Elephas maximus indicus: one gene and its partner. The protein of the gene in region 1 purifies or fractionates together with the protein of each later gene. This does not show direct contact. Links are inferred from orthologs where the notes say so. Each region holds a gene or a part of one and is shown on either strand. Other genes may lie near its edges.

Region 1 (8,209 bases):
CGTGCTGTTTGAATGGACAATGAGTGCAGTGTTAACAAAAGACTGTGGTATGGTGCTAAGATAGCAGGTCTGTGGTTCTTAATTTTACTGAGATGGTGGACCATCTACTTACCTTTCATTAGAAAATAATTCTATTAGGAAGTGGAAGAAAAGAAACAATTTGGTCTCTTTTTTTTTTTTTTTCTTCTCGCACTCCTTTTTTTAATGATTTATATTCTAAATAGGCAATACCCACACATGGTACAAAGTTCAAAAGATCCAAGACAGCAGACAGACACCTCTTCATCTCTGTCCTCCAGCCACTGAGTCCTTTATAGGAATACAGTCACTACTACAGTTCTTAGTCAGTCCTTCCAGAGCCATTTTAGACACACACAGCAAGTAACTGTACATTTATCTATCACTGTTTTGCACCTTGCTTTTTAAATTTAGTATACCTTTGAGAGCCTTCCACATAAATACACTTAAAAAAACCTCTGCTTATTAATAGATACATACTATTCCACTCTATGAATATATCATGATTAAAAAAAAAAAAAAGGCATCTCCTTATGGACATTTAGAAGGTTACTAATATTTTCTACCACATTTGATGCTGCATATGTGAGCGTATTTGTAGGATAAATTTCTAGAAACAGAATTGTAGGATTAGAAGGTAGTGATATATTTCGCCAAAATGCTTTCGATAAACGTTATACCAATTTTCACTTCGCTAGCAACCTATAAGAATGCTTGTTTTTATATATCCTGCCAACAGTGTTTTCTTTCCTGAGGTGCTAAGATGGAGAGTAAAGGAAACCCTTAAAGTAAATGTGGCCTCATCTACTGTTCTACAGGTCTAATCTGTAGATAAGAACTTTCATTTTTGCATCAAGTTAACACAGGTGGTACTGTAGACTTCTTCCCCCTCCTCAGGCAGGCTGGTACTGGGGCACTTATCAGTGGTCATACCCAATATTGTCTTGAATGTTAGAAGGCTTAGTGAGTCTTCGGAATCATTTCTACTTTGCCCTAAAGGGGAAGACACCCAATTCATTCCACAAATACCGAGTACCTACTATGATGCCTAGCATTGCTCTTGTGGCCAAGGCTTGAACACTGAACAAAAGAGATAAAAATCCCTGCCCTCAGTAAGATTACACAATAGCAGAAGACAGTAAACACAATACACAAGTAGGATATATGGTGTGTTAGTTTATAAATTCCATGCGAAAAATAATGGAATAGGTAAGATGTGGAGTACAGGGAGTCACTTTTTTGAAGGGTGGTCAGGGAAGGTCTCACTGAGACAAGGTGACATTTGCAGTAAAGGCAGTGAGGGAATAAGCCATAAGGTGTCTGAGGGACAAACATTTTGGAAAGAGCAAAGGCCTAGAGTTGAGAGTGTGTTCCTGTGTCCCAAGAACAGCAAGAAAGCCACAGGGTCACAGTTCAGTGAGCAAGGGGGAGAAGAGGAGAAGGTGAGGTCAGAGGTCAGGGGCTTTTGGTAGCAGGCCAGATCTTGAAGTACCTCTTAGTGAAATGAGGAAAGCATTGGAACCTTCTGAGCACAGGGCCACTCTGAGTACTCTGTGAGAAGAGGCTATGGGGAGGCAAGAATGGAAGAAAGGGGAGCAGTTTGGAGACTTCCTGAATTCAGGTGAGAATGAGATGGCTTGGACCAGGCTGGTAGCCATGGAGGTGGGAAAGTGCTTGGGTTGTGCCTATATTTTGAACATGGAACCAGCATGATTTTCTGTGAGACTGGAGGTTAGGTGTATGAAAAAAAAAAAAAAAAAAAACACAAGAACATACCAAGCTTCTTGGCTTAAGTATGTGGAAGGATGGAGTTGGCATTTACTGAGATGGGCGAAGACTATAGACTGACCATGTTTTAGAGCAGAGTTTTAGGTTGAAGTTCTGATTAGACTTTACCCTAAGGAATTGTGATTAGACTTACGGTTACCATTATTTTCCAAGGATGCTGAAGCTCTCAGATGGCCATGGTTCCAAAACAGATCAGTGGCCTGGACTAGACCAAAATGGAAATGGCTTCATGAAAGGAAGGCTCCAAGGAATATGTGCCCAAAGGTCATTGTCCTCCTCCTGAGCTATTCTCTTTCAAATCAGACTTACTTTGAGATATTATATTAAATTCTTTTGTATTTTTTCTTCTTCTGTGTTAAATATATAATAACAAAAACCCATTGCTGTCAATTCTGACTCATAGAGACCCTATGTAATCAAAAGATACAGGCAAGTACAACACACACACACACACACACACCCCTAACAACCATGAAAACAGCACAAACAAAAATTTAATTTCCTGCCCATTGATCTAGGAAATAATATTGGAGTCATTATTCCCTATCCTTGAGCATAGAGAATGTGACCCAGCTGCAGCTGGGCCCACAAGGACTCACAAGGACACATCAACTGAACCCTGAGGTATAAAGACAACAGATAATCTTGGAAAAGATCTTCTAGGGAATCTTTCACTTAAGCCAGAACACAAAAGACGTTCCACTCTTATCTTTTTCTATTAGCATTTAGTGAAGAGAAAATTTGTTGGACCAGTGAAGACCTTCCTTACCGTCTTTACTGAAACCTGTACCAATGATTGTTGAGAGGGACAATTCAAAATGTCGGATCATAGTTTCTAGCCAATCTGTAAAAAGGTGAAGCTTTCAATGGTTTTGTCCATTTATAGTGTTAATATATACTAACGACTCTGTAATGTTCTTTGGACTTGGGCAGACATGGCTGTGGTAGTATGCTTGTCCCTTTTCCCACCTTTGTCTGTTCTATATTTCCTTGGTTTGGGGCAGACAGTAGCTCCGGCAGCATGCTTGTCCACTTCCCACTTTTGCCTTTTTGAATATATGCCAAATAAAACTTTCTTTTTACTTTACTCAACTTTATTATGTGTTTTCTCCTATAACACCATTATACAACCAGCAGAACTTGAGCTCCTGCTAGAGGGCTCACTGTCCTCCAGGAATCAAAATTCAATTCTACATTTGCTGGCCAACAATATGTTCCCAGCAAGACACCAGTTCCTGGACAATGGTAGGCTAGGCTAGGCTGGTACAGAAACCATACTAAGGCCAGTCTGAAGTGAGCCTGACTGAGAAACGCAATCAGGAACTCACTGAACAAAATAAAAAATCCAAAAGAAAGGGACGGACTTAAAACAGTGGTCACTAAGGGATCTGACGAAAGGATACCTAAAATGGAATGAGTCTTTCAACAAAAAACATGGAAAGGGGAAGGAAAGCAAAACCAAAATTATGTCATATTAGTGGGGAGGAAGAAAAAAAAAGAACAGAAACTGATATATAGGGACTATTTCAAAAGGCTAGGAAGAGATTGAGGAGGGGATGATCTAAAAAAAAAGAAAAATCGTGTCCTTGAATGGGAAGCAGAATCTATACAAAGCAACAATGAGAGAGCGCAGAGAGCAACATGTATTTATTTTTTTCTACCTAACTCACAAGCCCCAGGGTAGATGAGAATCCAGACTTGTTTTAATGCAAGTGAAGTGGAGGCCCGGCTAGGTGACTCAGAGGTATGACTCAAATCCGACACTGGGGGCTGTCCGTCAGCTCCGGAGGCGGGGACCGCAGTGTCTAACACGTTGTAGGAAAGTACCAGACTCGTGAAAGGAGACAGGAAACCTCCCCGGGAGATCGGCCTGGGGTTCCTCCTGCCCTGTAGTCTGACCTCTTATCCCTCTGCACCGAGAGCAGTTCCTAAACTCCTTGTTTCCTCTTCTTCCCTAAGAGGCCCCATGCCCCCACCCTTTATTGCATGCAGAGTCAAGGAACCTGCAAGTGTGTGCGAGACGTCGGGCCTCCCACCCAGCCGCTCTCCGCCCTGCGCGGCCTGCCACGCGCCCACCTGCCCCGCCTCCGCGGCGAGCCGCTCCCTTCCCACCCCACCTGCGCTCGCCGCCAGCCGCCCGGGCACGCGCGGCACGAACAGCGCCCGGAGCGGCAAAAGACAAACACCTGTCCAGCCTGCGCTCCGCGAGATTTGGGGCTCAAGCATAGGCAACAGAGGGCGCGTTCTCGCGAGGTTTAGGAAATTTCCCACGGCCCGTGTTGTGTCTGAGCGGAGTAGTGGAAGGCGGTGGGAAGGAGGTGTAGCGTGAGACTGAACTGCCTGCATTGGGCACATGCGCACTGCCTCTCGCGTGTGCCGCGCCAATCCTGCAGCGCCTTCAGCAGGTTTCGGCCGGAGGATTCCAGTTCTCCGGGTTTTGGGGTTCCCTGCGGGAGGCAGAGCAGGATCTGGGAATCTCTAGGAAAGGAAAGGGCGAGGGTGGGGTAGGAGGGCGGCAGGGAGGGCGGGCGGGGTCCAGGCCCTGCACCTTTCTATTAAATGCCCAGACCCGCCAAGTTGGCTTAGGGGGAGTCGTCCGGATTTAAACCCCTTGAAGTACGTGTCAGGCAGCGGTGGGGTCTTTGGCTGTGCCAGGCCCCGGGGAGGCCCGGTGCTCTGTGCAGAGTCGGCCCCCTATTGACCTGGGGTCACTCACGGCTGCTGCTCACGCCGACGGCAGCCAGCTTTGAGCCGGCCCTCTGGCCGGGCTGGGTGGTGGCGGCTCTCAATTCCATCATAGTTTTCACTTCTGGAGAAAACTACTCGACATTCTGGCGTGTGCGTGTGAGGTGGATGCCTTTGCCAGAGGCCTTGACCTGGCCTCATTTCGCACCCAAGGAGAAAGAAGCTAAGGCGACAGGGCTCAACTGCAAAAGTTTTCCGTGTGCAGAGCTCTGTAGGGTCGGACCATGTTGTAACGTTCGTCTCCCATTAGTCTGGGTGTCGAATGAATGAAGAAGGTTCCTCGTATGCCACTCGCCCTAAGCCCAGGCGTTTTAGTAGCTCCAGCATCTAACGCTGAGACCAGCATAAAGGAGGCGTCCAATGAACGTTTGAATGAATGAAAGAGGCTGGGAACCCAGAGTGAGCGGGAAGCTACTTGGAAAACACCCATTTGAGGAGGTGTTTCATCTAGGCCTGTGGAACGCGGCAGATTTTCCCAGGACCCCTCCTCCCTTCCCCTTGGCCCCGCCCCCTGACCCCTCCATTCCCCGTCCCAGTTGTAATCCCCTCCAGTTTTCCTCAGTCTCCACGTACGTCCCTCAGGGTGCGTCCCAAAACCCGGATAACCGGAGCGCTCCCCATGGACCACACGGAGGGCTCGCCCGCGGGGCAGCCGCCTGCGCATGCTCCATCGCTTGGGTAGGTTTCCAGGGACGGCAGCAAGCAGGATCCCCTACTCGGCAGGCGGCGCGAGGCGTCTGGCTCTTCGCGGCGGCTGCGAGGGGAAGAAGAGCGAGGGGGCTGGGTGGACTCGAGGAGTGAGGAAAAAGGGAAGGGCGGGGGAGAGGGACCAGGGAAGGCGTCGGGGGGAATCTCGCGAGGGTTGGAGTTTTGGCGAGAGTTTGTGGAAGATGGCGCCTGTTGTGACAGGGTAAGTCTGAGGGAATCTGAGCGCTGGGCACGGGGAAAGTTGCGGCCGTCTCGCAGCCGGCGGCGGGCGGCGGGTTCGGGGGCCGCGGTGCGCTCGGTGTCGGGGGGCAGCGGGGGCGGTGTCGCGTGCGCCGAGCGCGGTGGCGGCGTGTGGCCGTGCGCTGTCCACTCTGCGCCGCCGTGGCTCGGGCTCCAGCGCGAGAGGGCGGGCGGCGGCGACTGGGAGGCCGGCGGGTGCGGGCGTGAGTGCTGCCGAGCGCGCGGGGCCCTCGGGCGCTGTGTCCGCCGCGCGCCGCCCGTGCGGCTGGCGCCGCCCGCGGGCCCTGCCTCCCGGCCCCGCGCAGCTTTGTTCCTCCCGGCCGCCGTCGCCTCCTCGCCCGCCGGGTGCTCCGGTCCCGGGCGCTTTGTCTTTACTCGCTGCCCCCCGCGATTTTCTACCCCCAGCTCTTTGTTTCACCGCCTTGGGCGCTTTGTCTGACCCGTCGCGCCCCGCATCCCTTCTCCCATCTCCTCTCCTCCGCTGCCCTTCCTCTCGTGCCCCTTTGTTTTGCCCCCCTCTGCTCGGCAGCCCAGTGACCTGGCACAGCCCAGGTAGCAAATTTTTGTCTTTTAATTTTTCTTCCATTGTTTTTCTCATTCGTTTCTTCTCCAGCCTTTCTGTTTGGTCCTTGATCACCCCCATAGGCTTTGTCTCCCCCATCCAGTGGCTGCTTTTCTTCGTTCGGCACCCCCCCCTTCGGTCATTTATCCGCTACCCATGGTGTCTGTCTCCTCAACTGTCTCAGTCCCGGGGACTCCATCTGGTGTTTCTACGTGCAAATCCTACGGTTTGTTGTTTTTGTGGATCTGAATGATGCGCGAAGATATTTCGTTTCTTTCTCGGCATCCCTCCTCTCCCCCGCACCCCTTTCTCTTGGGGTTACGGCGTCTCCAGTTTTCTTCGCTGTCCCTCTGGGCCCGTGATTGTTTTGCTTGGAAACAGTAGCCCTGGAAAAAGATAGGGTCTCTTGGTGGTTGTTGCCCCCACCTCTTGGTTTCTGACGGTCTGGGCCAAGGGCAGCTGTCTGTAGCTTTGCATCTGGTTACCTGTGGTTGGGCGAAGGCTATTGTAGTACGTTTAGAGGGAGACATATTATTTGAGACTCGTTTCGGATACCCACATTGTATATTCATTTGGTGTGCGAGTAGGAGTTAGGTGAATTTTGATGTTAAAACTTGTGAATGTTGAGATGGAGAATTTCAGTATTCTTTAGAATCTAGATCTAGAGTCTAGTTATTTTGCCAATAACTCCTTTGTAAGGAAAAGGGAGGCATTCTGCTTGGGAATTGATTTGATACACATATTTTAGTTTTTTTTTTGTTATTGTTGATTATTAGATATAAATTACACTTGTTTGCTTTTGCTCTGTAGATTTGTGACAACTCTCCTGTCCTTTGGGGTTGAAATGAGGAAAACGCTTAAGAGTGCAGTTTCTAGCTGGTGAATAATGCTTCTTCGGTCTTTGTGGACTATGTCAAATCAGATGTGATTAAAAGATACATAAGGAGTAGCCTGAAATAAAGTCACCTTAAAGGCAGTTACATTCACTTCCTAAATACTATTAGATTGTTCTAAATTGTTGTTGTTATGGAGTTGTGTGTGGGGGCGGTGGCATTTTAATGGCCTGAGTTATTCTGGTGTTTGGACTATGAAATGTTAGACTTACCAGGATTACTGCACAGAATATAATGGTTAAGAGTTTCCTCCTCCCCCACTAGTTGGTCAGTACTTTTAGAAGATGTGGTAACCATAAAATCATTTTGAGGCAGTGATTTCATTTGTAAACTAAAGCCCCCGTAAAGTGCTATTGATAGGAGATTTACAAGATCTGATATGCAAATATTGATTGGTACATTAGAAAGCATATTTTTTGTCTGAAGACTTTGATTGGGATTAGTAGTTGAATTAATTAATGGAAAAAGCATAGTTTCATGATTGACACATGAGGTTTTGTGAAAATTTGCGGTTTGGGTTCCATGAGTGGAATTACTACTTGTTTCCCTTATTTGTCCTTAAATAGTGCATCATCAGGCTTTTGAAGGTAAATCTTGAGCACACACTGTTGACTCTGACTGTAAGCAAAATGTAAATATCATGTAATAATGTAAGGCATTTGCCTTGATTTCTACACGTGAGAATGATCACGCAAACATCTTATAAAGTTTTTTCAATTAAGACTTGTGTATTCTGTTTCTAAATCGTATACTGTTTCTTGATGTAAGACCTTTATCTCATGACCAAAATAAGAAGTGCCTTTATTAAATTATATCCGGAATAGCACATTTAGAAGTATACAGGTTGAATAGTGGTTGGGAAAGTTATATTCTGAGTATTGATTGTTAAATTTTTTAACTTATTGTTCATGCATATTGCAGATAAGTCTGCGGGGAATATATTTCGGGGAAAAATATAAGCAGTTCACTTGCAGTATTTTCAGAACATTCAGATGTGCGCTTTTAGGCATTTGAATTTAAGCAGTTGCGTTTGTTACAAAGTTACCTGTTGCTCTGTATCAGTCTATTATTGTCTTTTAAGCGGCTAAGATTAAAAAAAAAATGGTTTGAGTAAAAAGCCACTCCTGCCAGATGTAACTCGTTAAATAATCTTTCTAACCCTGAATGGGTAGGATATTAGAAAAAAATTTTGTTTGAGAGTTTTTAAACCCCAAACCCAGTGCCGTCTTACATATCATAATTCTGGTGTTTGGTC
Region 2 (7,388 bases), on another chromosome or scaffold:
GATCCCATCAAACTGATGAAATGGTCTAAAAATGTCGTGACCAACTGGGGAACTCTGAACCAGACTGGGTCTAGGGTGGAATTCTGGAACTGTCTGTTTTAGGTGTGGGAAGATACTGCCATCTTTCAAAGGCATATACGAGGAATTTATGGATACAATGGCCTGGTGTCTGCAATCAGCTCTGCAATCACCCAGGGGTGGGGAGTATATGCATGAGACAAGGCTGACTGTTACAGCCTGCTGAAGCTGGGTAATGGGTACCTGGAGACTCACTGTACTGTGCTAGGTTCTTTTTTAATTATGTTTGAAATTTTCTAAATATTTTTAAAAAACGTGTTAAGGACAAGGTGCAGGTGTGGGTGCTGAGAAGTGAGACACATGGGAGAGGAGGCAGCCTTTGGAGACTAAATATGACTCAAGAGTGTGGAGATGGGAGGATACTGGAAAAGCTTGGAGACAGGAAAGCACCACAGCCTTAGCTACACTTTTTGGTCAATTTTTCATCTTTGCTGTTCGGAATGGCAAAATATTGCCATACGTAGATGTTACTTGTTTTTCTTTGATTTCTGATGAAGCTTAGCACACTTTGCAGTTTATCAATTGGCCATCTAAGATTCCTTTTGTGAACTGTCTATTCATTTCCTTCTCCCATTTCTCTACCAGGGTATCTGTCTTTTTCTTATTGATTTGAAAGAACTCTTTGTATATGAGGGATACCAACCCTTTGTCCCATAGGTTACAAATACGGCATTTATTTTAATTTGTTTATAGTGTTTTTTGGCCAAATGCATGCTTAGTTTAAAAAAAAAAGTGAGACTAAGTAGTGCCCACACTTATAAGGCCTTCTTTTCCCTCCTAAGATCATAAAAATATTCACTTTGACATTCAAATCTTTGCTCCAGCTGCTACTGATCTGTAAAGAGCAAGGCAGAAGGATCAGCTTTATTTCCAAAGAGCTGGCCTGGTGTTCCAACACCACTGCCCAACTAATCCACTTTGCCCCTTGGTGTGAAATGCAGTTTTGTCGTGCACTAAATCCCCAAATGTCTTTGCCTGTTCCTGCACTGGCATTGCCTTTTCCAAGTCCTGCTCTGACTGTTCTCCTACGTGTCAGGCCCTGAATGCCTAGAGACCATGTCTGCTGCCTCAGCCACTCACCACAGTGCTGGGCCCAGCGCAGACATCAGTAATCGAGTGCAGAGGCTATGATGACCCCTGTTACTGCTTCCCTAAGGCCCCCGGATGCCTGGCTAACCCACCCATAGACTGGAAGCCTCCTGATTTCTTCTTCTTCTTGTTCTGTGCTCGCACCATCTCCCGGGTGTCTGGCTCCACATCCGAGGTGCATTCTGAGGTGGGGAAGGTGGGCAGCGGTCTGCCAGGGCCCAGCTGGAAGGGAAGAACAGAGGCAGCATCACTCTAGGCGCTGGGGGCAGGAGAAGAGACTGTCCTGTTGCCAGTTTCTCCCTGATTCAAACCAATTATCCTCACAAATCACATGATTTCTCTGCTAACTGTCTCTCCTGTGCCTGGGCCAGGACAAGCCAGAGGTTCAGAACGTGGACTCTGGAGACACGCTGCCTGGGTTTGAATCCCAGTTCTGTAACTTACCAGCTGTGAGACCTCAAGCAAGTGACTTAATCTCCCTGAGCCTCAGTTTCCACATCGGAAAATAGGGATAACAAGAGCATCTGCCTCACTGAGTTGTTGTGAAGATTAAATGGGTAAGTGGAAAACTTAGAGTAGGGTCCAGCACACAGCTGGTAGTACTATCATCAACATCATCACCATCGCCCTGGCCTGTCATTCAGAGCTCTCGAAATTAAAACCTGTAAGAAGTCAATGAAAACACCTACTTTGTATAAGGTACTACTCTTCCAAGCTGTGCTGGCCCCCTCCCCAATCTCCTTTCTGACTCACCCCACCCCAACTCTGGCCTCTGTCTCCCCTGACCTTCTCTCTGCCTGTCCAGGTTCCACTTGTCCTTTAAGCTGAATCCAACCGGATGCCGCCTCTGCGGAGCCTTCTCAGACTATAAGGCTGATCCCTTTCCTCTCAGAAACATTTATGGAGCACTAATTAATAATAAGCTTAAACTGACACTACACTTACGATACGTCAGGTGCCTCTCTGAACAGTCACATAAATTAACCCACTTACTCCTCATCACAGCCCTGGGAGGGCTGTGAGATAGACACTATTATTATGTCCATTTCACAGAGAAGGGAACAGAGGCTCAGAAAGGGGAAGTGACCTGCCCAAGGTCATACGGCCAGCAAGTGGGGTTCAGGGGTTTGAATACTGGCTTCAGGGTCTATGTTCTTTCCACTATGATTCTCTAGGTCAAGGCTGCAGCCTGTTTTGTACAGCCTGTGAGCTAGGAATGGTTTCTACATTTCTTAAAAGACTGAAAAATTCAAACAAAAAAGGCAGAGACTAACTGGCCCACATGCCTGAACTATTTACCACCACACCCTTTTATAGGAAAAATTTACAACCCCTGCTCTAGATAGGAACCCTGGTGAAACAGTAGTTAAGAGTTTGGCTGCCACCTACTTTCTGTTACAGCAGTACTAGATGACTAAGACAATAGGTTATATCTCTGGAGTCATGTTCTCGTTTGTCAAATAAACTGGTTTTCTTCGGGGGGGGGGCCGAAAGAGTTTAGCTGCTAACCAAAAGGTCAGCACTTCAAATCCACCAGCTGCTTCTTGGAAACCCTATGGGGCAGTTCTTCTCTGTCCTACAGGGTCACTGTGAGTTGGAATCGCAACTTGACAGCAACATGTTTGGTTTGAGTTTCTTGCTCTAGGTACACAAAAACAAAGTGGCAGGAACACATGATGTCCTAGCAATATTCACTGAAGGGATGCATAAACGTACATACCCTGTCATTTAATCCTTTCCACAGTCTTCGAGGCACATAAAATCACCTGCCTTCCATGGATGTGCAAACCGAGGCACAGAGAGGTTAAGCACCTTCTCCAATTTCCCACAAAAGGAGCCCTGGTGGCGCAATGGTTAAGCACTCGGCTGCTAACCAAAAGGTCAGTGGTTACCTGCCTTACTCACCAGCAACTCTGCAGGAGAAAAGACCTGGCGATCCGCTCCTGTAAAAATTACAACCTAGAAAACCCTATGGAACAGTTCTACCCTGTCACACGGGGTCATTACGCGTCGGAATTAACTCAACGGCACCCAACAACAACAACCAACGTCCCACAACCAGTACAAGGTTGGGGCAGATTTGAACGCAGGGCTGCGTCACGACAAAGCCATGGGTCTGAACGACTGTGTGAGCTCCTCTTCTTTGGCACTTACTACGATCTCTGCCCTCTTGTGCTGTTCAGTGCCTTCAGCACTTACAGAGCACCTACTGTGTGCCAGGCACCTGATGAGGCTGGGGTGGGGAAACGGTGGAACGAGGTCTCATCTGGCACCTGCTCTCAAGGAGTGCAGTCCTCCTCTGCATGTGAGTCAGAATCCACCCGATGGCACAAAACAACAACATGCCACTCACAAACTGTGAGGTCTTGGTCAACTTGTTTCACCCCTCTAGGTCTCAGTCTCCTCGTCAGGAAAATGGGGATCCCAGTACTTAGATGACCGAATTGGTGTGAGGATTGAATAAGGCAAGTAAAAAGCTCTTAGCACGGGGTCCGGCACGTGGTAAGCGCTCAACAAGCGCCAAGTTTCATTTATTATTAGTTTTCCAGGAGATGTAGGGGCGTGAGTCTCTCAGCCCTCTCCCTACAGCAACCTCCCAAGAATCCCCCAAACTCACAAAGTCAGACCTTCACCCGCACTTTTCATTGGACGAATGGAGGCTAGGACTCGCCCCCTGGGCAGAAGGTAGCCAATGAGGTAGCGCGCTATCAGAAGCCAGGCTGCAACGCCTGCAGGCACCGCACGGGCCACCGGAACCGGGAGTCTCCAGCCCCGGCAAACCCCGAGACCCATGCTCAGGCCGCCGGGCAGGCGGACCCGACCCCTACCCTCAGCCGTGTCCACCCCACAGCGGGGAAACCGAGGCCGCGGCAGCACGGCTCTCAGCGCCCGGATCGCAAACGTGCCGGCCCCCCCGCGTATCCCAGCCCCGCACTCCCACCTTCCGGGCCCGGGAGTCATCTTCCGCCTGAATCTCAAACTCGCCGTCCTCCGAGTCGCTGCCGCGGGCCTGGGAGGCCGCGCCCCGGCGTTTGCGGAGCCCCTTCTTCTTCCGCCACTGGGCCATGGCCGCGCGGGACCGGGATCCGGCCGCGGGACGCGTGCCGGCCGCCATGCGGGCCCGGCGGACGGAGACGGAAGGGGGCGGAGCCTGCGGGCCGCACCAACTGCGTGGCCGGGCGGGGGGAGCCCATTCCACGCCCCTGGCTGCGCCCCCGCCGCTTTTCGCAGCCCCGGAAGCCTGGCACGTAAACCCCCGCCCTGCCAGGGGACCGTCTCCTGCCTTTGGGAGGTCCCCGGGGGCGTCAGGAGCGGGGCGGCCGCCAGGCAGGAATGGTTCCAGCCGCCTCGGCCCCGCTGCGCAGTGGTTGTTGTTGGAAGCGCGCGCCGAGCACACGTCGCTAGGGCATGGCTGTCCCGGGTGAGTGCATCCGCGCTGGGGGCCGGGGCGGCCTGGGCTCCGGGATTCCCGGATGCGAACGAAGTGCGATCACAGATGCATAGGGCGCCCTGGGTGCTCGTGCGCCCCAGCAATGGGGTCCTGACTTGGTGGGGAGGGGGCGCTCGAGACGGGGGCTGGGGGCTGGCTGCCAGCCGAGATGCCCAGGTAAGAGAATAACTCAAGAATATAGAGAGCTTGGGCATTAACCAGGGAGCAGCGGGGAATCGGAGGAGTAAAACCAAAATACTAGAGAGGTTAAGTGCTCAGGCTCTCAATTCATACCAAAAAACCCCCACATCAAACGGGTTCATTGGATTCGGTCTCATGACAGTTACATATGTTACTGAATAGCACTGCTCCATAGGATCTTCTTGGCTCTAAACTTCATGGAAGCAGATTTCCAGGCCTGCCTTTTGTGGCACCTCTGGGTGGGTTCGAACTGCCAACCCTTCCATTAGTAGTCAAGCACAAACGATTTGCACCACCCAGGAACCACTCTCAATTCATAAAAGATTCAAATGTCCTTTCCATCACTTTCCAGGCGTTGCCTACACATCTGAGTTCACTTTTTGAAGGCTATTTTGTCATCTGTGAAATGAACATAATCGAAGCTGCTTCACTGGGCTGTTGAGAGCATTAAATGAGAGGATGGTTGACAACCACTTGGAAGGAGGTAAGTGGTCAATACTGGCGGTCAATAGTCCCACCCTCTTAAATATACACAGGGTATGTGAGTGCGGACCTGCCCTTCTCCCCCTCCTGCCATCCAAAAAAACAAAAACCAAACCCAGTGCCATCAAGTCGATATTGACTCATAGTGATCCTATGGAACAGGTTAGAACCGTGTCATAGAGTTTCCAAGGAGCGCCTGGCAGATTCGAACTGCCGACCCTTTGGTTTGTAGCCGAAGCACTTAACCACTACACCACCAGGGTTTCCCCTCCTGCCGTACCGTAGTGTGTTTCAAATGGACACAGACCCCATCATTCTTTCATCTTCCCAGTTGTTACATAAATTGAGAACCCACAGCATGCAGGCAAACTATTCGATTCATCTGTTTATTCACTCGTTCACTATTTGCCGGTAGCCCCACCCCACCATCACTGTGACAACTAGAAACACCCCCAACGAATTGCCAGAATGCCCCTGGGGTTGGCAACGCTCACTTTAGGAGGACTGGTTGAGGGAGAATTATACCCTTTTGCTAGCGGGACTCAGCCAGAGGAGTCAGTGGGATTCGGAGCTACCAGTCTCCCTCAGCAGCACTGCTGTTGACTTGGTACCATCCTCTTTCACAGGCAGCCCTGCAGGCAGGGCCTGGCACTCAGAGTGCACCCAGTGTAAGCCATGAGGACCCCCGTGGAGCTGGCCATCAACAGGATGCAGACCCTCCACCTTCAGCACCGCTCCCGGGGTGGCCACCGGCCCAAGGCCAGGGCGTCATACGTGGATGAGACTTTGTTTGGCAGCCCTGCGGGTACCCGACCCACCCCACCAGACTTCGACCCGCCCTGGGTGGAAAAGACCAGCAGAACCAGGGGGATGAGTATAGGGGCATTGCAGGCCTCGGGGGCCAACGAGAGCTATGAGAGCACCCCGCCCAGGGGCAGCACCCCTACCCTCACACCAAGAAAGAAGAACAAATACAGGTAGCGGGGTAGGGAGCTGTACTCTGTACTCAATGCAGCCATCTGCATTCCTGTGACAGACCTGCTGTGGGAACTGATTGGCCAGGCCGGGGGCACATGCTGGGGAATTGGGACAGGATGCACTGTGGTGCCAGGCTGGGGAACAGGGACTCTTGGGATCTGCAGGCAACCCTTCTGCTGTTGTGGGTGCTGGAGGGAGTGTTAAGGTTTTGGGGGTTGTTTCTCTCCCAGCTCACTGCATTTCTCTTCCCTCCACCAGATTGATCAGCCACACTCCATCTTACTGTGACGAGTCGCTGTTTGGCCCCCGACCTGGGGGCATTGGCTGGGAGGCCTCATGGATGGCAAAGGGCGATGCTGCAAAACTCCGTGCCCTCTTCTGGACACCCCCCGCTACTCCCAAGGGTAGCCACTCACCCCGGCCCAGGGAAACCCCGCTTCGAGCTGTCCACCCAGCCAGTCCCTCCAAAACAGAGCCCAGGGTGGCGGCACACTCCCAGATGCTACCCTTGGATGGGTTAGACACTCCAGACCCTCTGCGGCGGGGACGATCCCAGTCTCTCACCCACCTGAACGTTCCCAGTACTGTTCATCCATGTGCCAGCCCTCCCCGTGCCAATGGGCCTCGGGACCCCAGGTCTCCGCTGTCAGGGGTGACCTTCCGGAGCCCCCTGGTGACTCCCAGGGCTCACTCCATCAGTGTGTCAGTGCCAGCCACTCCCCGACGTGGTAGGGCCCCCCAGACACCAAAGCCCCCTTGGAAATGAGCTTCCTGGTCCTGGCATTGGGTTTGCCTGTGGGGTCATAGCGAAGGGCACGGCTTCAGAGTATAGCACTGATGGTGGCTTCTTCTGCCAGAGAGGCCCGCTAGCCTCTGGCCCCAGACTGGAGTCTCCCAAGTATGGGAGAAGCACCCAGGGGATGGTGAGGGAAAGCATGGTGGGCAGTACCTCCCTTCATTCTGACAATGTGTAGTTGCTTCCTGACGTGGATTGGGAGGCGGTCCTTGAGATGCCTCTCTTGTCTCAGCCATGCTCCATATCAGTGCCAACCCAGGTGCCCCCAGGGGAGGAACCCTTTCCCTCCCCCACCAAGCCTACAACGTGGTCTTGGTGCCAAGTGTGAATAAA

Evidence for each region.
Region 2: the proteins of RBPJ (region 1) and RITA1 purify together in Homo sapiens (affinity purification with mass spectrometry; 4 studies listed by BioGRID and IntAct, with this or other methods). This does not show direct contact. The link is inferred for Elephas maximus indicus from reciprocal best matches to the Homo sapiens genes RBPJ and RITA1.

The regions. Positions count from the first base shown.
Region 1 is NC_064823.1:136,632,486-136,640,694, reverse strand, and holds the start of RBPJ (recombining binding protein suppressor of hairless), read left to right. Parts: upstream 1-5,122; 5' UTR 5,123-5,170; coding exon 5,171-5,229; intron 5,230-5,389; exon of another isoform or gene 5,390-5,441; coding exon of another isoform or gene 5,442-5,461; intron 5,462-8,209. UniProt on the Homo sapiens protein: Transcriptional regulator that plays a central role in Notch signaling, a signaling pathway involved in cell-cell communication that regulates a broad spectrum of cell-fate determinations.
Region 2 is NC_064840.1:11,328,615-11,336,002, forward strand, and holds the start of RITA1 (RBPJ-interacting and tubulin-associated protein 1), read left to right. Parts: upstream 1-4,380; 5' UTR 4,381-4,588; intron 4,589-5,150; 5' UTR 5,151-5,282; intron 5,283-5,907; 5' UTR 5,908-5,956; coding exon 5,957-6,258; intron 6,259-6,517; coding exon 6,518-7,025; 3' UTR 7,026-7,388. Other genes in the region: ATP-dependent RNA helicase DDX54, read right to left, coding at 1,260-1,389, 4,109-4,282. UniProt on the Homo sapiens protein: Tubulin-binding protein that acts as a negative regulator of Notch signaling pathway.